7 linked regions of the Ovis aries genome follow. The protein of the gene in region 3 interacts with the protein of the main gene of each other region in a pairwise test. Links are inferred from orthologs where the notes say so. Each region holds a gene or a part of one and is shown on either strand. Other genes may lie near its edges. The genes, in order: SOX5, FRS3, TLE5, LDOC1, TRIM41, STX11 and TRIM26.

Region 1 (4,075 bases), on a different chromosome or scaffold from region 3:
GTGTGTGTGTGTGTGTGTGTGTATGAAGAATGCACACTATCTCGTGTTGGTGAGTGTGTGCTTACTCCCTGACCAGATGCTGCGGTGCACGGGGCAGCCACCATCTCTGCATGCGTGTCTGTGTAAGTGTCTCTCTCTCTCTGTGTATGTGCCTCTGTGCCTCTGTCATTTCATGTCAAAGGTACATTACCTGATTACCTTCCTCGCCTGCCAGATTTTTATCTAGATAATTGGAACTGCTATGGAGGCTGTGCCTTGCCAGCCAGCTTAGGAGCTGCAGAGCCCTAGTTTGTCCACCTTGTTATCTGTGGCTGCCTGGGCAGAGGAAATTAAAGAGATCCCCAGCCAGGGGAGCGCTTCCTGCCCGACTTCCCCAGCCATCCCAAGCAGGACAGTTTGTGAGGACCATCTTTTTGTTTTCATCTGTTGGTTTGGTTTGGGGTTCTGTTCCCTAGAGTGTGTGTTATTTTGGCACGTGGATACCTAGTCCCCTCCACCTCGCACATCGTGTTTTATGGAGTTTGGAGCTGAGGAAACTTTGGTTGGGTTGCCAGGACGTTCGCACCACTTTGTGGAAAGCGCGAGCTAACAGTGAGACCGACAGAGTGAGTGACAAGTTGTTTACAGGTTTCCTTGAAGGGGCCTCTGCTATATTTCAATCTGTCAAAGTTGCTTTTCTTCCCTCAGAACAATGCCTGATTGTTGTGTGCAAGTGTGTGTGTGTATGTGTGTGTGTGTGTGTTTCCGTGTGCGCACGGAGAGAGCCTAGAAAAGGGTGAGAAGGCATAACAATTCTTTGTGTAAAAATGCTATTACTAATATTTAATCTTTTTGCTCAATGAGTTAATCAATGCAGTTGAATCGGGGTTGGGTTCGTGTACAGATTTCTCGTTTAATCAGTAGCAAATGCATTTTCAAAAATCATATTTTGTGTATGTATGTGTGCATGCGTGTGCGACTTTTATTATTTAGAGGAGAGAGTATGGGAGACACACTAAATGAGTTGACTTCTCACATTTGGTGATGTCTAGAAGGGAGAATTAAAAGGAAAGGACAGGCACCCTGAGGTTGTCTAGTGCCTTGCAGCCCGAGTGTGCGGCTGGAGGAGGGGGGAGCGGCCAGACCCCGCTGCTGGAAGTGCGCTACCCCTTTAAGAGACTGGTCAAGGAGTCCTAGGAGTGGGAGGGGGGAGAGGGGGAGAGGGGGGAGAGAGAGATTGAGAGAGAGAGTGAGAGAGAGAGAGAGAAAATCAATTGGTTTAGAAGGTTTGGACTCACTTGACAGGTTCAGTTGGAGACGATCATAGGTGGCTGCTGTGACAAAGGGAAATTGTGCTTTTCCAGCATGCTTACTGACCCTGATTTACCTCAGGAGTTTGAAAGGTGAGTACAGTTTTCCCCCTCTGATATATTGAAGTGCAACTCTCCCATTTTACAGTAGTCTCTGAATCCACTGGAAGATGCTCGCCTAAAACGTGTTTGTTAGAGAAGCTTTTAGCGAGTGCTTCTGCAGTCTTGTTAGCTGATTTTTGTTGTGATTGCCCAGACCAAATGGAACTGATTTGCAAAGTCTCCGAGATCTCTGCTAATGTTTCTAGGTTGTGTCCTATAACAGGAAATTAAATGAACATTAAGCATCTCTCTCTTTCTCCCACTCTCTGCTTTTCTCTTTCTCATTCACTCTCTTACTCTCTTCCTTCGTTGATATTTTTCTCCCCTTCCACACCTTTTAAAAATGCTTTTGTGCAGAATGTTACCATTTTCAACATCTCTGTGTCGTAATTTCTGGGGTGACAGAGGGCTTTGGTGGTGATTAAAACGGACGCTATAAGTTCCTATTTGATCCTTCTGTAAAACTTTGGAAGCTGCTCAGTAAAGCACATGATCTTTTGTTGATATAAGAGAGCAGATTTTTTTTTTTTAAAGAAAATGTAACATCACAGTAATCTATTAGTACACTACTCTTGAAATGTCAAAAAAAAAAAAGAGAAATGGGGATGATCCCTTTCTAAGTTTTGTGGCCACTTTTTGCACTGTCTTAAGTTAAATTTTGATTTATTTTATTTTCTATTTTGCTCTGTGGGAATAAGTTTTTTGTTATTATTATTTCTTATTAGAGAAATATGTGCTAATACCCTTCCATTTGATGTTGTTGCAAGTAAAGAGAGCTTTGAAAGAATTTTAGCCCTCTTCGTGTTCCTCTAAGTACACATTGCAATTTTAAAATTTGAGTTCTTATCCCAGCATAAGTTCATTTTTTGGAACTATAAATAGAATTTTGTTTGCCATTAAAAAGAATTCAAACTTTGTATTCTGTATGGTGAATTAGAAAAAAAAAGCTAAAAAAAGCCAGGATGCATGATACCCAGGCTTTTTTTTTTTTCTTTTTCATGAAAGCTACCTTCTGTATAAACATTTGTTGTATCTGACTATGCAATGCAAGCTAGGTGCTAGACCAGCTGGTTAAAAATATGCTAAGTCAAGCTGTTCATCGCTCAAAAGACTGAATTTGATATGAAAAGACGAAAAAAGAAAGGACAAAGATTAAAACATTCTAGAAGTGAAGCAGTGGAAGAGAAGAAGGGTATTGAGAATAAAATAATGCTTGAATATGGTCATATATTAGAGAAACCAACATCAGATCAGGGAAGAAAATAAAATAGCCAGTACATATACTTTAATACTGTCTTCTTTCTTTCATTTCATCTTCTTTTTTTAAAAACTTAAGATGCATCTTCACTACATAATTCCAGCGAATGCCTGAGCTTTCTTAACAGTTTTGAGTGATTTTTTCCCCCAAAGTTCTGTATATTAACTCTTTAGAATAGTTAGTTTTTTTTGGTAAACATAGCCTGTTTCATATGTAGATACTGAAGTTGTTTATATTGGAACATACTATCGCTTAATACTACAGTGAGTTTTCTAGTATGTACAGAGCAGCACGAAATGATAGTATACTTTAACTCTATACTTTTCAGAAATAAAACTCTGAGTCTGATTTGTAAGTCTGTTAACCTGACTGTTCTTATAAAAAGGTAGTTACATATTAACAGGCTGTAGCCTATTCCTTTATATAGGCAAGCTTTCCTGCTGTGAACTTTATTTGTATCTTTTCAATTATCTCTTTTTAAACTAAACTTTTCCATTTGCTATTCTGATACTCAAATCTCTTAACATTTTTTTTCCTCCTAGTGAGAATTTCATTTTTTATCACCCAGAGGCATGCTTTTCTAACTGCCTAATTAGATAAGCAAGTGATAATCAATAGAGTTGTCAGTATAGACAGCATATTTGGAAATATTAGTAGCTAAAATAATTTTGAAAAATGTCCTACAGTGTAAAATTTCTTAATAATTTCCCCTGTGGTTATAATTGGTAGTACATACAAAATCTCAGTAAATCATTACTATTTGTTTACATTGAATATGTACGGCTGAGAGTATCTATAGTTACCCACACAGAGTATATATCATGCAGACTCAATATTGAATATTTATATTCTCCATGGGAGGTATATATGCTGTAATTATACTACTCTCTTATATAGTCAGTGTTCTTTTTGCCTTTTCAACTCTCTGCAACTTTCATTGAATATGTAGGTCATTTCTATCAAGTGTTAATTTTTATTCTATTTGCTCACCTGATATAGATGAGTAGTTCACTCAAACTTAGTCATAAATTCAAAAAGAAGACTTTTAAGTTTCTATATGAAATAAAGAAGATTGCTCTGGAGGGCATTACTAAGTTGCTTAGAGTTTATGTATTTTGGAAGTTGTAATTTTTTTTTCTAGTTTCGATTAAAGTCTTGACTATCTTCTATTATCCTTTGCAACCTGTAGACTATTTGAAACTTTAAGGAATATTCAAAACAAGTATCTGGATCAAAATTTGGATGTAGATTTCTATGTCTGTATTATCAGCTGTAGAAATGAACATGATCAATACTGTCCTAAACAGTTGTTAAATAATTCAGAAGCAGTAACAATTTCATTGTCTGCTAAAAAATATTCAAGAGGTAAAATAAAAAGTGATTACAAAAAGTAAAGAATTTGAAATACTTAATTTTTATTTTCAAA
Region 2 (3,500 bases), on a different chromosome or scaffold from region 3:
TCCCCCTTGGGGCCAAGGTGGGAAAGGAGGGCAGTACCCAATCGGATCCACCTGGGGGCGGAAGGGGGACTCAGTGAGAGAGTCCAGAGAAGGTGAATATGGTACAGCACCCCACCCCTCAATTCCACTCCCACTGACTACAGCCTCAGAGGGTCCGGGGAGTTTTTCTTACAGATCCCCTTTGGGCATCAAGGACTCCAGGTGCCTTGTCACTTTACTTTGACAGAGCAGCCGTCCCTGGCAACTTTCAGTTCCTGGCCAGGGCTTCTTAGAGGAGAAAAAGAAATGGTTGTTACTTGTCACAAATACCACAATCACCCTAGAGTGAAGACCCTACCTCTGTGAGGCCTCCTGGACTCCCACCCCAGGCATGCCAGAAAAAAACTCTTTAAAAATGTGACATCATCCACGTCAGAATTTAAAAATAATTATATTAATAATAAATATGTTAAATTACATTTAAAACAATAAATAGAAAAATAAACTGATAAATAAAATCAACAGGTACAAAATGTTTCCAAATTTCAACCAAAAAAACACAGACGACAGACGCGACAGATGACAGAACGGGAGGGTGCTAATTGCCGTCGGGGGGCCCTTCACAGTTTACACCGCGGCTCCCTCCTCGCCTGGTCCTCCTCCCTCCTGTCCCCAACTCGGACACCGGGGGACTCTGCGGCTGATATCTTTGGGGACTCTGGCCAGTGCGGTAAGCATCTGGTCCACCTCAGTGCCCTTCTGCGAAGCAGCCCCGAGCCCCGGCGTGGGGGTTCAGGGCATGGAGCGGGAGGCGGAGGATGGGCCGGGCGGAGGAGGGGCGCCCCTACAGAGGCAGGTCGGTGCTGTTGTGCCGGGTTTTCCGGGCGGTCCCGTCGTCGCGGGGCAGCGCCCTCTGCAGGTTGGACATGGCCACGGTCTTTTTGAGGTCGATCACGGCGTAGGAGTCTGAGCTGCGGGTAGGGTGCGTGGTGGGCACAGGGCCTCGGGGGGCGGAGGGGTTCGGGGGCCCCTTGGAGTGGTCTCCACCCCAGCCCTTCAGCTCCACCTGGATGTAGTTGAGCTGCCTCGGGGGCTCCGGGCCCGGGCGGCGGAAATCAAAGTTGAAGACCCTTGGGGAGCCTCGGCGCCGGGTCAGCGGCACGGGGAAGCTGCCGTGACTGCGGAGGGCAGGCCGGGTGCTGGTGGGCTTCTGCAGCGGGGTCTCGTCCTCCTCGCCTTCCGGGAAGCCGTTGGAGGAGGGTGTGAGCCCGTCCCTTGAGTCACCGTCATCCCCGGCCTCCTCCCCTGGCTGTGGGGCCTGGCTCTCCCACACCGGGGGCAGGGAGGGCAGGTTTTCATAGTGCAGTAGTGCAGCCCGGCGCTGGGCCAGGCCGTTCCAGCCCGGCTCCTCCGGGCTCAGTTTCCAGCCCGCCCCCGGCCGCAACCCGCCGCTGACGTTCTCGTAGGTGCACTTGGGCTGGGCCGGGCACTCTGAAAGGCCCTCGTTGTTATTGTTGTGGTGGGGGGCGTCCTGCAGGCTCGGGCACAGGCCTTGGCACTTGGTCATGTGCCGCCGAGCTGGGGTGGGGCCCAACACGAACTTCACCTGGCCCGGCTGCAGGAACACCTGTGGGTCCCGCTGGTCGGGGCCCCGGGCCTGCTGTGCAAAGGGCGCCCGGCCCTCAGGCAAGGGCTGCAGGCAGTGCCGGCTTCGGCGCTGCTCCTCCTCGCTGGCTGGCGTGTTGACGTAGGTGTGGGACTGGGCGGGAGGGTCCAAGGGCAAGAAGGAAGCAGAGAACAGGGGACAGGATGAGAGGAGAAGCACATGGGAGAGGGCTGCAGTCTCCTCCTCTTCCTTGCCCTCCAAACCTTCCAGGGAAGCGGCCTCCCTTTCTTGGGACAGGAAGGGGCCCTGTCCATTTTCTTCCCTCTCATGAGCCTCACTGGCAGGAGGTGCTGTATTTTCCCAACCCCCTACCCCCACCAGACCAACAGGAAGACCCTGGGCAGCCAGTTGCTCACCTGCTCATCTGGGGCAATGAGGGCATGGGTGGACTCTTCACCAAGCGAGGGGTGGCGGAGGCTGCTTGTTGAGGGGCGCCGGGGTGCTGAGAATCGGGGACCCTCCCCTGGGCAGCCAGGGAAGCCATTGGAGAAGCTGGAGATGGTATAGCCTAGAGCTGGGCACACAGGAGACAAGGGGTCCTTAAACCAGGTGGCAGCTGCCTGCAACCGTGCATGTGGCAGCCTGGGACTCTCCCAGGGAGACACTCCCAGGGTCCTCGAGGGCCCACCCACCGAACTGGCAGTCCCCATTGTCTTCACCTTGTGTCTGATCTTCAACCTCTGCCATTCTTCTGAACGCTCAGCTTGAACTCCACTCCCCCCATCAGAGCCTTATCTGAAACACTTAAGGCACACCTTGCTGTCACTGAACTGACCCTACACTTCATTCCAGCTCTGCCAGTGAGCTCCAGGGAAGCTCCTCAAAATCAAGGACCGTGTGTCTATTTCTTCTGTCCCTCATGGGCCAGCTGATGGAGGGCAGGACACAAAGCAGGCGTTCGATGTGATTTAGTGAATGAACAAGCAGAAACCGTGGGAACCTCTCCAGACAGCTGTGGGCAGAGATGGTGCACCAGCTGTCAGGAAAGGTATATGGGTATGACCCAGTAGATAGAAGAAAGGAAGCAAAGCGGCTCCAGACTGCCGTTTCCATGGAAACCCAATGTCTTCCTGTCTGCTCCCCGACCATCCGTCAATACAAGGCTCTGGACTCCCCAGCCTCAGCTTGAGTCACCTGATTAGTCTAGGCCAGGACTTATCTATCCCTGGGAGTTGTCTGATGATGGATGATGGTCCTGGAAGCCTGGCTCACCCAGCCATCCTCCACCTGCCTGCCTGACTCATGCCTCCAAGACCAGTGCTCCCTGGACCTGTGCTTGTGTGTGCGTTGGGGTGCTGAGGAGAGGGGTTTCCTCACCATTGGGAGGCTGGGGGGCCCGAGGGAGGTCAAGCTCAGCCGGGTGGCTGTTGCGGGTGATGATGACTGGCTCTTCCATCACATTGATGCTGTTGCACTGCATCAGATCCTGGAGGAGGTTGAAGATTTCCTCAGCCCTGGAGCACTTAAATGCAAATATCCCTGAAGAAGGAGAGGAAGAAATGAGGCTCCTCTGACCCTGCATCCTATAGGGGAGGACCAGGGAGGTTGAAAGGATGCACAGAGTTCAGGAAACGTCCCTGAACTTCAGTCCCAGGCCTGAGGGGTTAGGGTTAGCATCCTGACTGTTCTCCGCACACTCGCCAATATCCAAGAGCCATGGGAGGAGCCGGCCCAAGGCCTTCACTCCCCTCCCCCAACACACACTATGCATTTCCATCATCTTAAGATCTAGCGTGCTGTGCTTAGTCACTTAGTTGTGTCCCACTCTGTGACCCCACGGACTGTGGGCCGCTGGGCCTCTCTGTCCATGGGGATTCTCCAGGCAAGAATACTGGAGTGGGTTGCCATGCCCTCC
Region 3 (3,963 bases):
AATGCTCTTCATGTTGGCATACAGTAAGTACCCAATAAATATTTCATTCATCTTGTGGTCACCCCAGGGGACTTAGAGTTTCGTTCTGCCAGACTGACCATGACTTGTATACCTGGGTTCACAGGTGAGCCACACTTAGTCTAATTCTCTTTAAAAATGTCCATGTGCAATTTCATTCCAAATTCGGCATTTCTGGCCTTTCCTGAGGGACTGGTAGATACTGGGACAGCCCCAACACAGTGGAAGCCCTCAGTGTACACCAGGAAGCCTAAGCCCAGCGAACAGAGACTGTGAAGTTCAGAGATGGGGTGTGACCTATCTGAGGTCACACAGCGCTCTGGCAACATCTCTAGAACTGGATCGGCTCCAGTGGTCACTGTGATGTGTGCATGGGCCAGGCAGGGAGAGGGGACCCCCTGGAGAGGCTCAGAGAGGCCAGATCTGTTGGGCAAAGCCCCTAAACCCTCCATATCACAGGATCAGAACCTTCAATCAACTACACCTCCGATTCCTGATCTTTGAAATGGGCACAATGATAGGACAGCAGGGAAGACGAAACAAAAGGAAGTATGTTCACTCTTCAGCAAATGGGGAGAATGGGCAGTACCCTCTAAAGAACAAATATATCACTCTTTCCAATTTCTTCTTGCAGAAATCCCAGGATCCTTCAAAAAATACTTCTGTGTGGGTAAATAGATCCAGGGAGGCCCCAAACCCCACTGGTATATAGACTCCCCATCTGATTCCCAGGCAAAGACCACTCTGCAGCACAGCCTTGAGGATCTGCTTCCTTCAGTCCAGAGATGGGATCTAAATCTTGCTACTTTCTTGCTGTGCAACCTCAAAAAATCTCTGGGCTTAAGTTTTTCCAAATGTAAAATGAAAAATAAATAGTTCCTTTCTCTTTAGATCAGGCACATGGCAAAACCCTTTAGCAATGTCAGATTCAATTCTGGAGGGAGAATCACCTTCCTGCTGGGTGGCAGGAACCCTTTCTCCAAAACCAGGCTACAGATCTGGGGCGGGGGTGGGGGGGGGAGGGCTTTGGGGAGGTGGAGAATCAATCACCAATTCTAGATGCTGGGGGTCTTTTATCCATTGGTGTGGAGGTGGGGAGAGGGGCTCTAAAACCAGACAACTGAGTCTGGGCAAATTATTGACATTTTTGATGCCTCAGATTTCTCATCTACAAAAATGGGACTGTTTTAAAGACTAAATGAATGTCATATCCCTGAAGTGGTAAAGACAGCGCCTGCCACTAAGACCTTCATGGCCTCTATTTTTTGGAGTCTGTATATAAAGCAGAGGCCACAATCTCCGCTCCAGGCCTCAGTCTGGAGCAAGGGGCTCCACCTTCTTCCGAGTTGGGACCACCAGCCCCCAGCTCACCTGTGGTACTGAGCCTGCAGCAGTTGAAACTCATCTTTGATGCGATCGCAGGAGTCCGAAGTAGTGAATTTGAGTTGCTGGGGGAGGTGCGACGAGCCCTGTGGGGAGGGGGCGGCGGCCCGGGTCAGGACCCCACAGGGCAGACATCCACCTCTCCCCCGCCACAGAGGCCCCAAGGCGGCGGCAGGCGCAGCTGCAGCGCCCCCCCCACCCGCCCCACTTCCCGGGCCCGTGTTTACAGCTCCTGGCGCGGCCCCCGCCCTCGCTTCCTGCCCCCGCCTCTCCCAGCGAGTCGAGGGGGGTGGGTGCGCCCTCTCGTCCTCCGCCACCCCCAGGCTGTGGGGGTGCGTCTGAAGGCCCGCCCTTGGTGGGGGGCAGGGTGCGCCCTCTACCGCGCCTCCAAAGCGCCGGGAGGGGGTGCACTCTGAGCGCCCAGTTGCCTCTGGGGGGAGGAGAACGTGTCCTAGAGAGACCCCCCCAAGTTGGGGGGGAATGAGGTTTCCTAGCCTAGTCCCCTTGGGGGAGGGGCATCTCTCACCGCCTGAAATTTCCGAGTGGGGGCACCCCTGATTCTGAGCACCCTTCCTCCAGGCCGCGCTCTTCCGGGAGGGGTGCGCCTTGGGTCTCCCCCCACTCCCGGACCCCGAAAGCACCCCCAGCCTTAGAGGTGCCTGGTGGGGCTTCCGGGGCGCCCTAGGCCTGAGGCCAAGGCCGCCGAGGCCCATCCTGGCTTGGGGGGGTTGGGGGCAGGGCCCGGGCTGGCGCGGGGTCGGGGGATCTAAGCTGGGAGCTGGAGGGGACCTGGCTTGGAACCTAGCGGGGTACTCTGGTCCCGGAAGCCGGGAGAGGGGCCGGGAGCTACGGGGGATGGGAGGGAGTCCGGGAGCTGGCGGCGGGGGTGGGGAGTAGCGCTGGGCCCAGAGCTAGAGGGGACTGGGCCCAGGAGTTGGGGGGGAGATGCCGAGCTGAGAGCTGGGGGGTGGGGGCGGCCCGGCTGGGATCTAGAGCTGGGGGCACAGGGCTTGGACCTGGAGAGGGGCGCTGAGTTTGGACCTGAGGGGGGGGTGCAGGGCCCGAACCTGAGGGAGGGAATGGTTCGGCTGGGAACTGGGGGGGCCGGGCCGGGACCTGGGGGGACGCAGGGCCCAGAGCTTGGGGGATGGCCCAGCCAGGAACTGGGGGTTGCCGGGCCCGGATGGGGTGGGCGCCGGGCCGGCGGGCCCCGCTTACCGAATGCCTGCTTTGTGGAAACATCATGTCAGTCGCGGCGGGGGGCGCGGGCTGCGCCCCGGCTGTGCGCCCCGGCTCGGGCTGCTCGGGGCGCCGGCGGCCGCGCCTTTGTCCCGGCGCCGATCGGCAGCTCCCGGGCCGCCGCCGCCGCCTCCCGCGCCCGGCCTCGCCCGCTTCCTGCGCCCCCTCCCCGCGCGCCCGGCCCCGGCGCGCCCCGGGCCCCGCTTCCTGCGCGCCCGGCGCCCCTCCCCGCCCCTCCCCGCCGCCCGCCTCCCCGCACGCCCGGCCGCCGCTCCTATTGTCTAATGGCGGCGACGCCGGCAGTGGCCGCGGCCTCGGCTGCGCGGAGGCTCCGGCTCCACCTGCTGCTGCCGCCGCCGCCGCCGCTTCTGCTTCCCGGGCCCCGTGCGCGCCGCCGAGGGGGGGGCGCGCGCCCGGGGAGGCCCGCGGATCCCCACCCATCCGCCTCCCCCGGGCAGGCCGGCGCGGTGACCTTGGGCCCGGCGCGCCCCCGCCGCGCCGCGGCCCCTGCTGGCCTGGTGGCCCGCACGGCCGCGCCTGGGCCTTGGTTTCCTCATGTGTCAGAGCCGGGGGGCCCTGCTGCCCCCATCGAAACCTCCGGCGCAGTCATGGCGCGACCCGGACGCGTGCCATGGACATGCTCTGTAACCTTGGCTCACGGGATGTTTTCTGAGCCTTGATTTCCTCTTCTGTAGAAAGGAGGTGGTGATAACCACCGAGCTCCTGGGAGCCATGGCTTCCACACACATTTATGGAGCGCCTACTGTGTACCAAGCCTCGCTCCGCTCCAGGATGTGGGGTGGGAGGGGATACAAAGTCCAGGCCCTGGTGGCCCTGGTGGAGATGTCATGAGACATAGAGACAAACCCATGAACCACATCCCTAGCAGGTCAGACAGTGGTAACACCTATGGGGAAAACAAACCAGGAGGGAGGGCCGGAAGGTGCGATTTTAAACAGAGGGAGGTCAGAGGGCCTCCTTGGCCTCTAAGAGGACCCAAAGGTGAGAGAAGGAGCTGGCAGGCTATGGGGGTAGTGGCTTAGTCAAGGAGGCAGAGTCAGCCAGCGCAAAGGCACTGAGGCAGCACTGCCTGGCACGGGGTGGGGGGTGGAGTGCTTGGGAGGAAATGAGGGCAGGGAGGCAGGGCCAGCAACTTCATGCATTCACATAGGGCCCCAGCTCCCAGAAGGGCTGTGCTCTGGTTAATGATCCGCCCTTGTGGTCTCTGGAAATTCCTAAATGATTTTTGAACAGGGTCCTCACAGTTTAGTTTTGTATTGAGCCCCGCAGCTTCTGTAGCTGGTGATAGGGAGGGACAGATGC
Region 4 (3,060 bases), on a different chromosome or scaffold from region 3:
GGGTTTTAAAACAATGTGCTACACTATGTATTGAAGCCTAAAATCAATAGCACCCCACAGGCACTAAGAGTTAACAGGCAGAACATCTCTGACCATGTTGAGGAAGAACCCCAAAGTTCATGAAAATAGAAATATTGTGTGTCCTGACTTGTACTTGTTGTTCCAGTCTAATTATTAATAGTGTCCCCTTGAAGCTCTCTCAAAATTGTCCCAGTTTGGGATGGTGTGCCACCTGCCTGCTCAGCCACCCCTTACCCATGCCACCTCAGAAGCACCAGAGAACACTCCCTTCACCAGGGCTATAAGAAAGGCATCAGTGGGGGTAGTACCAGTTTCCCCATAAAGCCCTGTAGTAACTGTCCTCTGGAGTTTAGTCGTGACAGTGGGGAGTACAGAGATTGAAAGTTGAATGAGATTCCCTGATGCCAGTGGGAATAATGAGTCAGGGTGAAAGTGGCAAAGGCCAATGATAGCCCTTAACCATGAAAAGACACTTGCTGTTGTTGTTTTTTTTTTTTTTTTTTGGTAGTGCTTGAAATTTATTGAAAAGAATGCAAATGCTTTTTCCAGGTAGCATTGAGGAGCTGGGCTGAGTACTTGCTTTTGTTTGTATTGTTCGGTTTTTAGTATTTTTGTCCAAATGCACACCTCGATGGGACTGCTGCAATTTTGAAATGAAGATGACGGGTGTGCAAAACTGATGCATAGGAGAAATGTCAACAATTGGGTTGCCAGGCACAATGGGCCCCTGCAGCAATCTGGTGGGCCAGGAGGAAGACCTGGAGTTAGTAGGGAACAATTAATCAAGTTGAAAGATTAGCCCCTGGGGAGGGGGGTGGAGTTGTTGGTGAGCAGTCCAAATCAGTGTCCCAGGAGGTGTAGCCCACAAAGGCATCTTCTAGATTGTTCCTGATCTCCAAAGGCCGGGTCTATCGCTGGAATCTGGTGGAGGGTGCTTGGGTGGCAGCGCAGGTCGCTGGGCAGAGGTGCAGGCCTGACAGTCAGCAAGGCAGAGTATAGGCTGACCGGTTTGTAAGAGGGGCTTGCCCTAGAGCTGGGGCTCAGAACACAGTTCTAACGAGCAGTGAGGGTCCTGGGGCTGGCCAGAGTGGGCAGCAGAGTGCACTTCAGAGACGCCCCAGCCTCAGCAGCAGGTGACTAGAGAGCACTATGCCTGGAACAAAGACAAGCACTACGGCAGAGAGTGGAGGGTGAGGAAGACAACCAGAGGGGAGGGAAAGGCCAGGGGATCACAGCGTTAGGGGAGCGCGGTGGCTCCGGGCGGGGCGAGGCGGGGAGGCAGCGGGGGTGGCGGAGGGCAGTGCCCTTCCCCCTCTAGGCCCGAGGGTCTCCGGGCCTAATACTCATCTTCTTCATCTTCGTCTTCGTCTTCTTCGTCGTCATCCCAGCCAAAACACTGTTTCATCTCATCGAGGAAGGCCCGGTAATCGCCCAGGATGGGGCTATCCATCTCAATGTAGGGCACCACCCACTCCTCGGCTTCCCCGGTGAGCAGGCTGATCAGGAATGCCACCTTCATGGCGTCGTTGCAGAATCGGTTCTCGTTGACGAGCATGTAAGACGCCGTCTGCACGATAAACTCGGGGAGCCGGGAGCTCTCGCCGTCAAACGTTTCGGGGAAGGGCACAGGGCAGCTCGGCGGACGTACCTGGCGCAGCAGGGTGGCCCTCTCGCACACCAGCAGCCGAAGCTGTTCCATGAGCTGGCTGTTCTCGATGCTAAGGGCGCGGTGCCGCATCAGAAGCGCGTGCAGCAGCAGGACCAGCTCATCCACCATGGCGAACAGCTTGGAAAGGCAGGGCAGGGCGCAGCTCGATTCGGCTAGGCTAAGGTGCTCTCGGAGGCCTCGCAGGAAGTGCGTGTCAGAGGAGACGCGCGGTGGCTAGGAGCGAGGGGCGGTGCGCGCAGGGGTCCCGGCGGCGGCGCAAGCTCCGCCCACACAGCCGAGCTGACGGCCCCGCTCAGGCACCGCCCGGCTGGAGGGGGCGGGGCCGGGGAAGGCAAGGGGCGGGGCCGGGGAAGGCAAGGGGCGGGGCCGGGGAAGGCAAGGGGCGGGGCCGGGGTGGCCCGGACTAGGGCTCGGCGTCCGCGCTCGCAGGTCCGGGGGCCGCTGGATAAAGGCGAAGACCCAACCTTGGATGTGGGTCGGGCCGTAGCCTGGACCGTGCAAGCGCAAAAGACCCATCTCTCAGAGAGGTTCAACCTGCTCAGGTTTAAAGGACTCACCACCCTTCAGCCAAGCCGACTCATACATCTCGGTGTTCCTTGGAGGGCCAGTAGCCCCTGGGTTCCCTCTGAGTGGTTTTAACACATTTCTTGGCTTATGAAATCTCCCTCACCCAAAGAACCGTTAGCAGTGCTGGCTGCACGCCAGCGTCACACCCTGTAAGAGTTATGAAAGACCCTCAGGGGTCCTGTCTTTCATGACAAAGCGATATTTAAAAGGGATTTTTCTTTGGTTGGAAAATAGTATTGTGTACTTCTATCCCTTTGTTTAAAATTATTTTTGTAAATAGCAAAGTGTAAAAAGTTCTGCAAAATTTAGCATCCAATCACCATTTGCAGGAGTCCTGCCTATCTTTGACTCTATTTCTGTCCTAATGTTAGTGTCCCTTGACTACTGGGTATTTATCCCCTGCTTAACAATAAACACTTGTGTTTTAAAAATGGCTTTGCTTTTCTACTTTGAATGCGATTATTCAAATAGTTGACAAATGAGTTGGGGAGACAGCCTCTGGGCCACCACATTCTGTTGGAACACCTTTTAAAATATATTCCCAGTCGAATCACTTCTTGTTACTTCTACCAATACCACCCTGGTCCCAGCCCTCCTTTCTCACACAGGCTGTTGAAACTAACCACTTAACTTCCATTCTTCTCTTCCTATAGTGTATGTATTCCCCAGAGTAAGGACAGGACTCCTTTAGAACAAAAGTTAGATCACTTCCCCTCCCTGCTGTAAACCCTCCAATAGTTTTCCCTTATCAGTCAAAAGAAAAACCAAAGTCTTGGTAATGGCCTACCAGGCCCTACCTCATC
Region 5 (4,260 bases), about 20 Mb from region 3:
AGCTACCCTCTCCTCCTGGTTCCACTTCTACAAACCATCTGGCCCTTCGGTAAATGTTATTTCTACCAGCTATCTCACACACAAATCTCCTTTACCTGTGTCCGAAAAGATGTTAACTAAATTAGAATCAAACTTCGAGAAGAAAAGTCACATGTCAGAAAAATCAAACAACAGACATCTAAATAGTGGTGATGTTGTAAAACAGTATAGGCCAGGAAAGGCGGGGCGGGGGGAGGCGGTGTAGTTACGAGGAACTGTGTGGCCCTGTGTGTATATTACTTACATCTCTCTGTTTCTGTTTCCCTTCCGTTTCCCAATCTGTAAAACGGGAATACAAACCACAGCAAACTCACAGGTTTTCAATTTTAAATGAGACAGTCCAAGAAAAAGTGCTTAGTACAGTGCAGGGGTACATAGTAAGTGTTCAGTAAACATTAACTTTTAATCCTGGAGAAATTATAAAGTTCAAAGACATTCAGAGACTAAGGGCCAGATCTTCTGACTTAAAAGCCTATCCCTCTTTTTAAATACCCAGGAAAGGTAAGAAGTGCTGGCCAGTACGAAAGAATGATTCCGCAAGGAGAAAACAAAGCCATATCTTGGAGTGGGTGGGGAACCCATTAGAACAAGAGCAGAGCATATGAGTCTGATTCTAGTAGTCAATACACACTTCTGTTCCTCAGAACACCTTATTATTTGAGGCCCAAGCTCTTTCCTGGAGAAGGAAATGGCAACCCACTCCAGTATTCTTGCCTGGAAAATTCCATGGACAGAGGAGCCTGGCAGGCTACAGTCCATGGGGTCGCAAAGAGTCGGCCAGGACTTTATGACTGAGCAAGTTCTTCCCATTTCTAGAGGTTTTAATCAGGGATAGAGTTTTAAGAGTCATTCACAGTTAAATAAGACGGGTGGTAAAGCCCTAAGGGCTTGTCACTTGCATTTCTATAACTTAGGGACAGTGAAGTGCAAAACAGCAGTGGCTTTTCCCCAAGAGACAAAGTCCAGTGATATGACATCACCAGATTTCGTTTGAGGAAGCCAGTCTTCCCTGGTCTTCTCCACAGTGTCTACTTTGTCTGTGTCCAGGATCCTTCTCACTCTAACCATCCTGGTGCCAGTAAGTGCTTAGGTAAGGAGAATCAGCTCAACAGTGCACGAGGATCTCTGGACGGGAAAGACACCATTTCCTTTCCCCAGTTTCTCTTACTTCTTCTCCACCCCAACTAAACTCCCATCTTCTACTCTCACCTTGTACTCCTGCACCACCTCCTCCAATGGCACCACGCTGTGCTGTTTGTGGTTCCTGGATTCTCGACATACCACACAGATGGCCTCTTCATCCACCTCGCAGAAGAGCTTCAGGGCTTCTTGGTGTTTGGGACAAATGCCCTGCTCGTTCCCACGGCTCCCCCGACCAGCGGTTGGGTGCATCTGCCGAATCACCTGGACCATGTTGGCCAGCTGCAGGTTGGGCCGGAAGCTCCGCCTAGGAAAGCTCTTGCGGCACTGAGGGCAGGTGAAGCACCTCCGAGGAGTTGGAGGCGGGGGCAGTGGGGTGACGGGATCTAGCTCCTCTTCCTCGTCCTCCTCCAGCACTTCCTCCTCGTCCTCCTCCTCCTCTCCCCTCAGGTCCTCCTCCATATCCCCCAAGTAGTAGTCCAGGTCTTCCTCCTCCTCCTCCTCCTCCCACACGTAGTCCATGTTGTCCCAGTTGGATCCGCCCATGCCACTGGTCCAGAACACACCCTCTTCTTCCTCCTCGACCTCCTCCTCCATGTCGCCCTCATAGTCTTCATCGCGCATAGGGGTGTCCCAACCCCCACCGGCCCCCACAGCCTCCACTTCTTCCTCCTCTGCATCCTCCTCCTCTTCCTCCCGGTCTAACTCTTCTCTGTCCTCTTCATCCTCCCCTCCCCACAACTGGGTTACACACACTCGGCAGAAGTTGTGCCCGCAGCCGATGGACACGGGGTCCGTGAAGTAATCGAGGCAGATAGCGCACACCGCCTCCTCCTGAAGGGTCTGCACAGGGTTGGGTGCCATGGCAACGGCAGCCATCTTAAGTGTCCAGTCAGCCAGTATAGACGGGTGGTGAGTGGTGGGGGCGGGGGGCGGGGGGGTCTTCCCTCTCAGACTCCCTGACGACCCAGCCCCACCCCCAGCCCTGCCCCTCCACACCTCGCCTCAAGCGCAGCCAAAGAAATGTCCTCCCGACAACACACCCCTGCACACAGAGTTCCCTACTCCCAGACCACAACCGAGTCCCTGAAAGGGGAGGGGACAGAGCTGAGCGATACCGCCAAGTCCCTCAGGTGGCCCTGAGTGCAAATCTGCCCCAACGCTCCCTTGGCCTCCTCATAAACCCCCGCCCCTCCTCACTTCCTGGCTCCGCCCCCTCACTTCCGGCCTCCCCTAACACTTCCGGTGCTGCTAACCACCCAAGATCGCGAGCTCCCTCCCAGGTCACGCTACGCCCCTTTCTGCCCCCGCTTCCCCGCCCCGGGTCTCCAGATGACAGGAAACGGTGAGGCGACGCTCTAGCAGGCACTCAGGAACAGGGAGGGAGGCCTAAAAGGACGGAGGCGTACGACTCTGTAATGCGAGGGAGTGGGGAACGCAGACGAAACTGAAAGCCCGGCCTCCCCCATCGCCCGCCACTGGGGATAAATTTCGGGGGACCTTGGAAGGGCTTGGCACCCGTCTACTCTCTATGCTATGACCGTATCGGCCCAGCGCCATCCTACCGACCGGACACGGAGAACTGCAGCAGGAACTCCCCACGGCCGATACCGGAAATGGGAAGGGCGGGTGTCGGTGAGAACCCTGAAGTACTTCCGGCCCATCTAGGCGAAGGACTTTGTTGTTTGAAGACTCCGAGAGTCGGTCCGAGACTGACTAGGGGGCGGGGTCTGTAGAAGTGCGGTGGAGGTGGGACCGGAGACCCCTCCCATCCTCCCAGCTGTAGTTGGCATTTCCACACACTTTGTAGAAACTACCGTCGGTCACTGTCGCTTCGTTTAGATGAACTTTCTTAACTGCCATCGGTAAAGGAACAGTAGCAAATCATGACATGCACATTCACACAGTGGAACACTTCAGATGTAAAAAAGGGAATCCTCCCCAAAATGTACAAATGAAATGAAAAAACCAAGGTGCTAAACAATCTATAGAGTATAATTGTAAACAAGGGAAAGGGATGGGATGTTTAGCTTTATAAGTGACTAAGTGAAGTCGCTCAGTCGTGTCCGACTCTGCGACCCCGTGAACTTGTAGCCTACCAGGCTCCTCCGTCCATGGGATTCTCCAGGCAAGAGTACTGCTCAACACCAGGGATCAAACCCGGGTCTCCAGCATTGGAGGCAGATGCTTTAACCTCTGAGCCACCAGAATCCTGTGCTAATTCATAAAGGGTAGTTCCTATCTCAGAGGGTTTAGTGAAATTACTGTTGTGCAAAACTATTATAATATTGCCTAGCACACAGTAAATGAGATATAAGGTTTAGCTATCCATCATTATCATCGTTGTTGTCTATCTCTGGATGAATATTAGTGTATCTAGGACACTTTTCTGTAAATGTCGTTCTGTCTCTTTTGAACTTGAACCAAGTCAATGTATTGCCTTAAAGAAAAAAGAAATAATTTTGTTTCCCACCCCCCAAGTGCTATTGAGTCCTTCAGCTCTTTCTGAGCTGTGCACCGCGCGTGCTCCACGCCCAGAATACTTCGAGGTCTGTCTTCGTGGAGTCCCAGTGTAAGAGCAGGGGCTCAAACTGGGTTTGCGGCATTGGGTTTTACTTGAGAGAATCCTAGCTAGGATGTAGAACGGTATCGGTAAAGATGCTGCTGTGGTACCTGGAGCATCTCAGCCAAATGGATTGTTTGTTTGTGCGATAGAAATAATACTTGATGTTTTTAAAAAACATGATCTTGCTTAATTAAAAAAATTTTTTTTGGACAGCAGGGAAAGTTACGGGACTCTCTAGTGAGTGTTGGGCGCTGCGCAATGCCAGAACTGGGCACGCAGAATTGACCCTGATCTCGAGGCGCTTCTCACCTCTTGTGGAAACTCCAAAATGACATGTGCTTTATAAAATGGTGGTCAGAACGCGCCCAAACTACGAATCTTCGTGCATAAACTATGTACTAGGCCGTGCCAGGAGCTGCAAACGCTACTGTGGCAGATAAATGGGACCACCAGACCTGAACGTGGTTCAGACGGCCCCTAAAGGGAGCCCCATGTCCCTTTGGAATCTTGTCTTA
Region 6 (4,079 bases), on a different chromosome or scaffold from region 3:
TCTGCTCTGAAATGTTTATACCCACAGTCTATGAAAAATGTTCCCTGATGATATTTTCATCTTATTTAGATCCGCTGGTCAGCTTTTCAAAGAAACAATGTTGTATGTCATATGATATAAATTTTTCTCTAGTACACTCAGACTAGAAAAATATTCTCAGATTCACATCCAAATCTTTTTGCATATAGCTTATCTATATAAAATGTAATTTATGGAAATACAGAAATAAGACTTTATAAAGTAAATAGGTAAATTTTAAGGTTTCATTTATCCAGTATCTACTAAGCTTTTCTTTAAACATATTTATTTATTTTTCCCAAAAAACTACTTTTTAAAGGTATATGAGGAAATTAGTACATCAGTACTTCAAACAAGCCATTGTTATTCAACATACACAGCATATAGGAGAACAGAGTTTCTAACCCTTTCCTATACACTGAATATTTCTGTCCCTCTAAAATTCATATGTTTAAATCCAAACCCTATGTGATGGTACTGGGAGGTGGAACCTTGTGAGGTGATGAAGTCATGAATATAGAAACCTCAAAAACATGATTCATGATTAGTACCCTTATAAAAGAAGCCCCAGGAAACTCTCTTGCCCCTTCTGCTGTGAGAGGATATAGCAATAAGATAACCATCTATGAACCAGGAAGCAAGCTCTCATCAAACACCAAATTCATCACTACCATGATATAAGACTTCACAGCCTCCAAAACTGTGAGAAATAAATTTCTGTTGTTTATAAGACACTCAGTCTGAGTATTTTTGTGTACCATTTAGCCCAGACACATTAAGACACCTTGGAAACTTAAGATATAAACACACAAATATTAGCAAACAACAGATCGTTTTAAAAAATTAAACCCCATAATGCTAATATATCAAAGTCACTCAGTCATGTCCACCTCTTTGTAACCCCATGGACTATATGTAGCCCCTCAGGCTCTTCTGCCCATGGAATTCTCCAGGGAAGGATAATGGAGTGGTTAACCATTCCTTTCTCCAGGGGGATCTCCCTGACCCAGGGATTGAACCTGGGTCTCCCACATTGAGAGCAGGTTCATATCAAAGATAACCAACACTTATCATCTGCATCACAAAGTATGAGGTATGCACAACTCAACCCCATCCGACCCAGGAGGAAAAGAGCCTTCAAATCTCCTGTCCACTGTCTCAGGACCAGCAAGCAAAGGAACCTGGATCCAAATCTTAGCATCCAACACAAAAGTTTATGTTCCTAACTACAAAAAAGTGTCCAAGAGCAACTCAAAGGCCACATAAAAAATAAAAAAGAAAAATTTTCCAAAGCAAATGATTTATTCATCCTGTTATATCAAACTAAAAGTAAGCTTAGAAAAACTACTAAAAAAAGAAGAGAAACAAGAATGCAGATATACACACTACTATATATAAAATAGATAACTAATAAGGAGAACTCTTTTCAATACTCTGTAATGGCCCATATGGGAAAAGAATCTAAAAAAGAGTGGCTGTTTGTACAACTGACTCACTGCTGTTCACCTGAAACTAGCAGAACACTGTATTAATAAATCAACTCTACTCCAATAAGAATTTTAAAAATTAAAAAATAAATACAAATATTCAAAAAATAAAACATGCAGCAGACATCTCTCTTAGAAAAGCAATCTTTTTTAAAATAAGCTCATTTTTCTGTGCATGGTACACAAGAAGGAGTAGAAAGCGAGGTTGCAAATTGTACTATTTTGGTGTCCATTAAATGTTATCTTTGCTTATAGTTCCTGAAATGACACCATTGTATTTTCAATTTAACAGAAATTGCAAATAAGTGAAAACGTTCCTCTGATATACTGGCATACTTGTTGTAAGAGGCCTGAAGTTTAGCATGTATTGGCTACTCTATGCATACTAACAGAACATTCTCTGTGAAAGAGAATGGGCTGAAAAAATCTGGACTAGAGATAGCATAATTGATCTGTTTAATACCTCAGTTTTTCTGCAACTGTGATTTTGCATAACAACTTGCAAAAGTATTTTAAGATGAGACTGTTGATCAATGCTCACTTCTGGTAAATCCCTTTTGCACCAGAGCCCAGTCCTGAGGAACTGATAAAAGTGAAACAAAAAAAAATCACCAACAGAAGGTAACAAATAAGCCATGCCTTTTACAAATGTTTAGCAAATGCTGGTTTCAAATCTGAATAATTAAATTAGTTCTCAAAGATGTAGTGTTCACAAATAGGCTAAACATTTTTACATCTATAGTTTATTCATTTAGAAGAATTTGTGCCATCCATTTAGAAACTATAAGCTTCTACAGCAAAAAGCCTTACTTTGTGGTTGAGATGTGGTCTTCTTTTTTTACTCGTCATCCATTTCATCCCCTTGAGGCAGCTTCATGTCTTTATTTGTCTTATTTTTCCCTTTAACACAGACTTCAAATGGATGGATTCCTTCATCAAAGGTGGTTTATAATTTCTGAGTTCATAGACCACAACCAGCAGTCCTTTGTGATCCTAAAGAAAATGTAAAAGTACAATGTTGGCACCACAAAAGACAGTGTGTTTTAAATAATGACTATTTTAAAGATGAGCTTAGTACAAATAAGTGATGCAATGAAAACAGACTGAAGTTCGAGCAGAGAGGTCACAGATTCAGCAGACAGTCTTTCTTTGAGGATACCTGCTCTTGGAATGATGAGCTTGTTGAGGAGACCGTGGAGAAGCTGACAGATGTTCCTCTCGGGTCCACAGCTCCTCACCTTCCTTATGTGTCCCAGTGTGAGCAGGAATCCTTTCTAGCAGCTGACATGGTCTGTGTCACCAGTACTGGGTGTTGAAAGCAAGCCACCCCATCTGATTTCTTAAAACCCTATTTTCTATAGGCTGACGATGGCAAAGGTCAATTATGAAACAGGAACTTTTGACACAACTCAACATCCCTAGTCACAAAGAAACATTTACAAAACAAATGCCCCCATGCAAATTGAAATTCTTAATTGATTACAATGTAGATATGAGTGTTGGACATAACCCATTCACTCCTTATTTCTTTTATGGTCCTACTACATCATCTTTCCAGCTTAAGTAAGGATTACACTGCTCTTCAAGGAAAAAGAATAAATGGTAATTAGTGCCTGGAAAACCCCATGGATGGAGGAACCTGGTAGGCTGCAGTCCATGGGGTCGAGAAGAGTCGGACACAACTGAGCGACTTCACTTTCACTTTCCACTTTCACGCATTGGAGAAGGAAATGGCAACCCACTCCAGTGCTCTTGCCTGGAGAATCCCAGGGACGGGAGAGCCTGGTGGGCTGCCGTCTCTGGGGTCGCACAGAGTCGGACATGACTGAAGCGACTTAGCAGCAGCAGCAGCAGCAGTGTTGACAAATTACTTGAATATAATATAAATACAATGTAGCTTATATAAATATGGCATAAATTTTGTATGACTACAAGTTCTTTAAAAAACTATAAAATTTAAGCCAATCTACGTTACAAGTATAAAGTTAATAATGTTAAAATAAACAGCATTGATAAAATTTTTCTTGATGAAGCAAAACCACAAATGTCTATTCCAAAAGTGCTTTGGAGTAATTTGTATTTCATTTATCCATATGAGTCTCTTTATTTTGAAGATAACACTCATTTGAATGATTCTCCTTATTATTGCTATGATTTTTCCTTTTAAACTATACATTCATCTTGTATCATCAAGCCATGATTTTTTTTCAGTTTTACTGAGATGTAATTGACAAATAGAAATGTAAGGAACAAAGCATACATGGTGGTGATTTGATATTTGTATGCATTGTGAAAAGACTCCCACTGCCTAATTAATTAACATATTCATCACCTCACATAATGATCTTTTTTTTTTTTTTGGTGAGAACATTAAAGTTGTATTCTCTTAGCAAATTTCAATTATATAATACAGTTGACTCTTGAACAATATGGTAGTTAGAGGCATCAACTTCCCACACAGTAGAAAATCAAAGTATAATTTTAATAGGCTACTGTATCTGCAGTTTCACAGCCAAGTAGTCAACCAACCACAGATTGTGTAATACGTATTCAATTAAAAAAAAATATGTGTAT
Region 7 (3,991 bases), on a different chromosome or scaffold from region 3:
GCCATGAAGGTGCTTCCTGGAGATCAAAGGACAGGATGTGAACTGGAGCCTGGAGGCCACAAGGGTGACAAGGAGATCAGTCATGAGTCTGGGCCGTGGGTCCCCCTAACATTTTCCTGAGACATGAAAAAGGCATTCCTCCTCCCCAGACCTACACCACCATACCAAGGACACCAAGGGTGGACCCCCCTGTCCAAGCATCACCCTCTCCACCCTATGAAGCCTTCAGGGTGCCTTCTTCTCCTCCCAGGCCTAAGAGCCCAGGACCCTAGCCTCCTGTCTCTTCATCCCCTTCATGGACCTGACAGAGAAAGACCTGCTGTCTGGATCCCTCAGGCCTGATCCCTCCACCTCCAAACCATCGAATTAAAAAGTTCTGAGCTCCTGTACCCAAATCTAAATTCTGGCCCCGAGGATGACCCAAGGTTTGGGGTCACGGGTCCCAGAGAGGAGGCTTCCCAGGGCCCCACAGGCTACAGCTGACCCAGGCCTCCAGCTGCACAGATTAAGCTGGTTCTGGACTAAACCCCCACCCCTCATCCCCCCCACCCCCCCACCCCTCATCCCCCCCCCCCCCCCCCCCCTCATCCCCCCCACCCCCCCACCCCCCCACCCCTCATCCCCCCCACCCCCCCAAAAAATAGAACAAATCGCTGCAGGCTTTTCCTAGCCCAAGTAAACGTAGAGTCTGGGCCGCGTGCGGCGAATTTATCTTGCTTGGAGGTCCTGCGCCGCAGCAAGCAGCCCCCTGCTCCTCCCCCTGCAGAATTTCCCTCTCCCAGATCTTGGTCAGACCCAGGGACCCTAACAGCAGCGGAGTGCTTGAGTTCCTAAAGTCCCTACCGTCCGAACCTGAGGAAAGCAGTCGGGGCTGGTCGATAGAGACCCTGAAGCCAGGATTGGACACTGATTGGCTTCTAGAAACCGAATACTCAATGGGAGTGAATACTAGGATCTCGTCATGAGTATCCAGGCAGAAAGGCCCGACACAGTTTGAGAGGGGAGATAAGAGACCCTAAAACCAGGAACGCTGGTGACGTTGATTGGCTTCTAGAAACCGGATACGCAATGGGAGTGAGAACTGTTATCTCGTCATGAGTATCCAGGCAGAAAGACCCGACACAGTTTGAGCGGCGAGAAAGTGAAACCCCAGGGAGGTGGGGAATCCCACGAGGTTTGACTCCCTCGCCCAGACCCTGAGAGCCTTATCCGGGGACCTGGGACTTTGCCCTGACCTCTCACCTACTGCCTGGAGGACCCTGTAAGTCAGAAGTTTACAAACTTTCGGTTTCCGAATCAATGTATTCGACTTGGGACCTCAAAGATAGTATCACTTATGTGTGTTGTATCTGTGAACATTGGCCATATTAGAAATTGAAACAACAGAAATCGATTGATTCAATTGTAATATTATTAACCCATTACATTAAAATAAATAATTTTATGAAAAATCTATTTTCAAAATGAAATAGTATAGTGAGAAGTGAGACTTCTAGATTTTACATTCTTTCAAAAGTTTACATTCTTTTCTTGTATGCTTCGTTAGAAGACTGAAGTATTTGGATATCTGCTTCTGTATTTAATTTTTTTTTATTAAAGTAAATTAAAAAAATCCAGCCTCACACAAGTATAGGTAAGGCAAGTATTTTGAATAACATTTTCAGATAATTATACCTACTCATCTTTGATATAACACTAAAACTACACAAGTGTTAGGTTTCATGTGAAACTTGAAACTATAACTGAATATTTCCAGATCTGTTGCATAAGAGTCCATAGGTCTGTTTTGTACATTGAATGAATATTATATCAATGCATTTTTTTTTACAGTAATGCATTGCTTTACCAAGTTTTATAGATTTTAGAGTGTTGACGTTTAAGATTAGCAAACAATCACATTTGTTAATGTCACCACAGCTTACACTAGAAAAGTTTGTCAGTACTGGGAAGCTGTCAAGATTAATTTTCTAATGAGAACTTGCATTTTATCATTGGCAATAATACTGTAAGTTGATTTCCTGGAAGGGAGAAACTCATGTTCATTATGCCAAATAACGAAATCTAAAAAATCATGTTTTCCTGTTATTCATTCTTAAAATGAAATAGTCTTCCATAAAAAAAGAAGCTAAGTCAGCTCAGAAAAATTATTTTCCTTGGGACATAGTACTTTAAAATGGAACAGAAGTATTTTATGTGTACTTCCCATTTCATCCTATCAGAGAGTCTAAAATGTGGACTCAAGAATGATGACTGTAGAAACAATAATTTTTAATACTACGACCCGGATATTTTTCAGTGAAACTTGCTTTATTATTCTGCAATTAAATTGTGGTGAAGAATTCATAAGTGCTATTGCTGTTTGTTGAAATAGGCTCATTTCTGCTAAGTTTTACCTCAGTGTAAATGTCAACACAGTGAAAAAGGTAGGGGCTTCCCTGGTGGAACAGTGGTCATGAAATGGCCCTCCAATGCAGGGGACAAGGGTTTGATCCCTGCGGGGGAACCGAGAGCCCATGTGTCAAAGGACAACTAAGCCTTCAAGTTGCAACTGCTGAGCCTAAAGGCCATGCTCTGCAACTAGAGAAATCCCTCATGCCTCAGTGAAGACCCAGTGCAGCCAAAATAAGAAATACATATTTAAAAGAAAAAGGTTAATACATTTTTGGTAATGTCATGAAAATAGTTTTAACCTCATGGATCCCATAGTAGGGTCTCAGAGACTTCAAGGGTTCCACAGACCACAGTTTGAGAAGTACTGTTCTGAGTAAAGCAGGGAGACTGCAAGCTAGCATCCACCTCTCTGTCTCTTCACTTCTAGACTCCCTCTTCCTGAGCTGGACTCTGTGCTTCCCAACCTTTATGTATTAGGGCTCTGCCTCTTGGTTCTTCTAAAAGTGAAGTTGCCCCTAGAAATTTGATGCCAGAGTGTCTCCACCTAGGAAGGAGTTGGGAGACAGGTGTTTCCCCTGTGGAATGGGAATAGTCTGCGCCTGAAGGCACAAGAGAGAAATTTATTCCTGACCCATTTTGGATTTGTTGGTACCAGCTTAATATTTATCCATATCCCAGAAATAAATCTGATGTAATCTGTATGAGAAATAGTATTGGCCATTTGGTTTTGAATGGGCCTAATGTACCTTACTTGAGGCCCACTAATATCATCAATAATAGTGCTACTCAGAGTTCTGGGTCTGCACTTTTCACGTGGTAGGTGCTAGCTCTATGTGGCTACTGAGCACTTGAAATGTGGCTAACATCACTGAGCAGTTGAATTTTTATTTAATTAAATTTAAATTTAAATAGCCATATGTGGCTAGTAGCTACTGTATTTGACAGAGCATATCTAAGTGGTTTAGTTTTCATTCTCCCAAGATACTGTATGACTCATAGATTGAAGTACATTGAAATTATCTTCATACATTTGGTTATGTGGGTCTTAGACATTACTGTAAAATACAGCAGGCCCAAGAAAATTTAATCTGCCTCCAGTGCAGGAGACCCAGGTTTGATCCCTAGATCCCCAGGAGAAGGGAATGGCTATCCATCCACTCCAGTAATCTTGCCTGGAAAATTCCATGGACAGAGGAGTCTGGTGGGCTATAGTCCATGGGTTGCAAAGAGTCAGACCCACTTTCACTTTCTTTAACATTATTAATCTAAACATAATTTATCACCTCAAGGTCATTAGTTTTCAAAAACACTCATCTTTGGAGCTATTTCTTATCTATATTACATTGAGACTCTTCATGTCATTTCTGTTTATCTGGTAAACATAAGCAAGCACTTATATCTTCACTTAGCCACAAGAAAGTATTTATTGAATATCCCATTATAAAATACCCTGTTGGTCCTACATAATTATAAAAATACAAAACAGAAGATAAAAACTTTAGAATCCCCACCACCTTTGAATTCTTTACCTATTATTCCTCCCCATAGTGTGTGTAAAGTGATACTTGCCCCCAGTTTCAGTTTTTGTTTCCTTTTACCC

Evidence for each region.
Region 1: the proteins of TLE5 (region 3) and SOX5 interact in binary tests that used the Homo sapiens proteins (3 or more experiments, as listed by UniProt). The two-hybrid records come from large-scale screens. The link is inferred for Ovis aries from reciprocal best matches to the Homo sapiens genes TLE5 and SOX5.
Region 2: the proteins of TLE5 (region 3) and FRS3 interact in binary tests that used the Homo sapiens proteins (3 or more experiments, as listed by UniProt). The two-hybrid records come from large-scale screens. The link is inferred for Ovis aries from reciprocal best matches to the Homo sapiens genes TLE5 and FRS3.
Region 4: the proteins of TLE5 (region 3) and LDOC1 interact in binary tests that used the Homo sapiens proteins (3 or more experiments, as listed by UniProt). The two-hybrid records come from large-scale screens. The link is inferred for Ovis aries from reciprocal best matches to the Homo sapiens genes TLE5 and LDOC1.
Region 5: the proteins of TLE5 (region 3) and TRIM41 interact in binary tests that used the Homo sapiens proteins (3 or more experiments, as listed by UniProt). The two-hybrid records come from large-scale screens. The link is inferred for Ovis aries from reciprocal best matches to the Homo sapiens genes TLE5 and TRIM41.
Region 6: the proteins of TLE5 (region 3) and STX11 interact in binary tests that used the Homo sapiens proteins (3 or more experiments, as listed by UniProt). The two-hybrid records come from large-scale screens. The link is inferred for Ovis aries from reciprocal best matches to the Homo sapiens genes TLE5 and STX11.
Region 7: the proteins of TLE5 (region 3) and TRIM26 interact in binary tests that used the Homo sapiens proteins (3 or more experiments, as listed by UniProt). The two-hybrid records come from large-scale screens. The link is inferred for Ovis aries from reciprocal best matches to the Homo sapiens genes TLE5 and TRIM26.

Annotation. Positions count from the first base shown.
Region 1 is NC_056056.1:191,733,130-191,737,204, forward strand, and holds the start of SOX5 (transcription factor SOX-5), read left to right. Parts: upstream 1-1,275; 5' UTR 1,276-1,344; coding exon 1,345-1,382; intron 1,383-4,075.
Region 2 is NC_056073.1:15,617,430-15,620,929, forward strand, and holds the end of FRS3 (fibroblast growth factor receptor substrate 3), read right to left. Parts: intron 3,125-3,500; coding exon 2,963-3,124; intron 2,160-2,962; coding exon 2,002-2,159; intron 1,739-2,001; coding exon 824-1,738; 3' UTR 412-823; downstream 1-411. UniProt on the Homo sapiens protein: Adapter protein that links FGF and NGF receptors to downstream signaling pathways. Involved in the activation of MAP kinases. Down-regulates ERK2 signaling by interfering with the phosphorylation and nuclear translocation of ERK2.
Region 3 is NC_056058.1:18,524,229-18,528,191, reverse strand, and holds the start of TLE5 (TLE family member 5), read right to left. Parts: upstream 2,801-3,963; 5' UTR 2,647-2,800; coding exon 2,620-2,646; intron 1,488-2,619; coding exon 1,390-1,487; intron 1-1,389. UniProt on the Homo sapiens protein: Transcriptional corepressor. Acts as a dominant repressor towards other family members. Inhibits NF-kappa-B-regulated gene expression. May be required for the initiation and maintenance of the differentiated state.
Region 4 is NC_056080.1:94,166,926-94,169,985, forward strand, and holds LDOC1 (protein LDOC1), read right to left. Parts: upstream 1,881-3,060; 5' UTR 1,799-1,880; coding exon 1,358-1,798; 3' UTR 501-1,357; downstream 1-500. UniProt on the Homo sapiens protein: May have an important role in the development and/or progression of some cancers.
Region 5 is NC_056058.1:38,099,728-38,103,987, reverse strand, and holds the start of TRIM41 (E3 ubiquitin-protein ligase TRIM41), read right to left. Parts: upstream 2,801-4,260; 5' UTR 2,059-2,800; coding exon 1,249-2,058; intron 1-1,248.
Region 6 is NC_056061.1:68,707,661-68,711,739, reverse strand, and holds the start of STX11 (syntaxin-11), read right to left. Parts: upstream 2,801-4,079; 5' UTR 2,665-2,800; intron 2,499-2,664; 5' UTR 2,316-2,498; intron 1-2,315. UniProt on the Homo sapiens protein: SNARE that acts to regulate protein transport between late endosomes and the trans-Golgi network.
Region 7 is NC_056073.1:27,756,780-27,760,770, forward strand, and holds the start of TRIM26 (tripartite motif-containing protein 26), read left to right. Parts: upstream 1-1,191; 5' UTR 1,192-1,261; intron 1,262-3,991.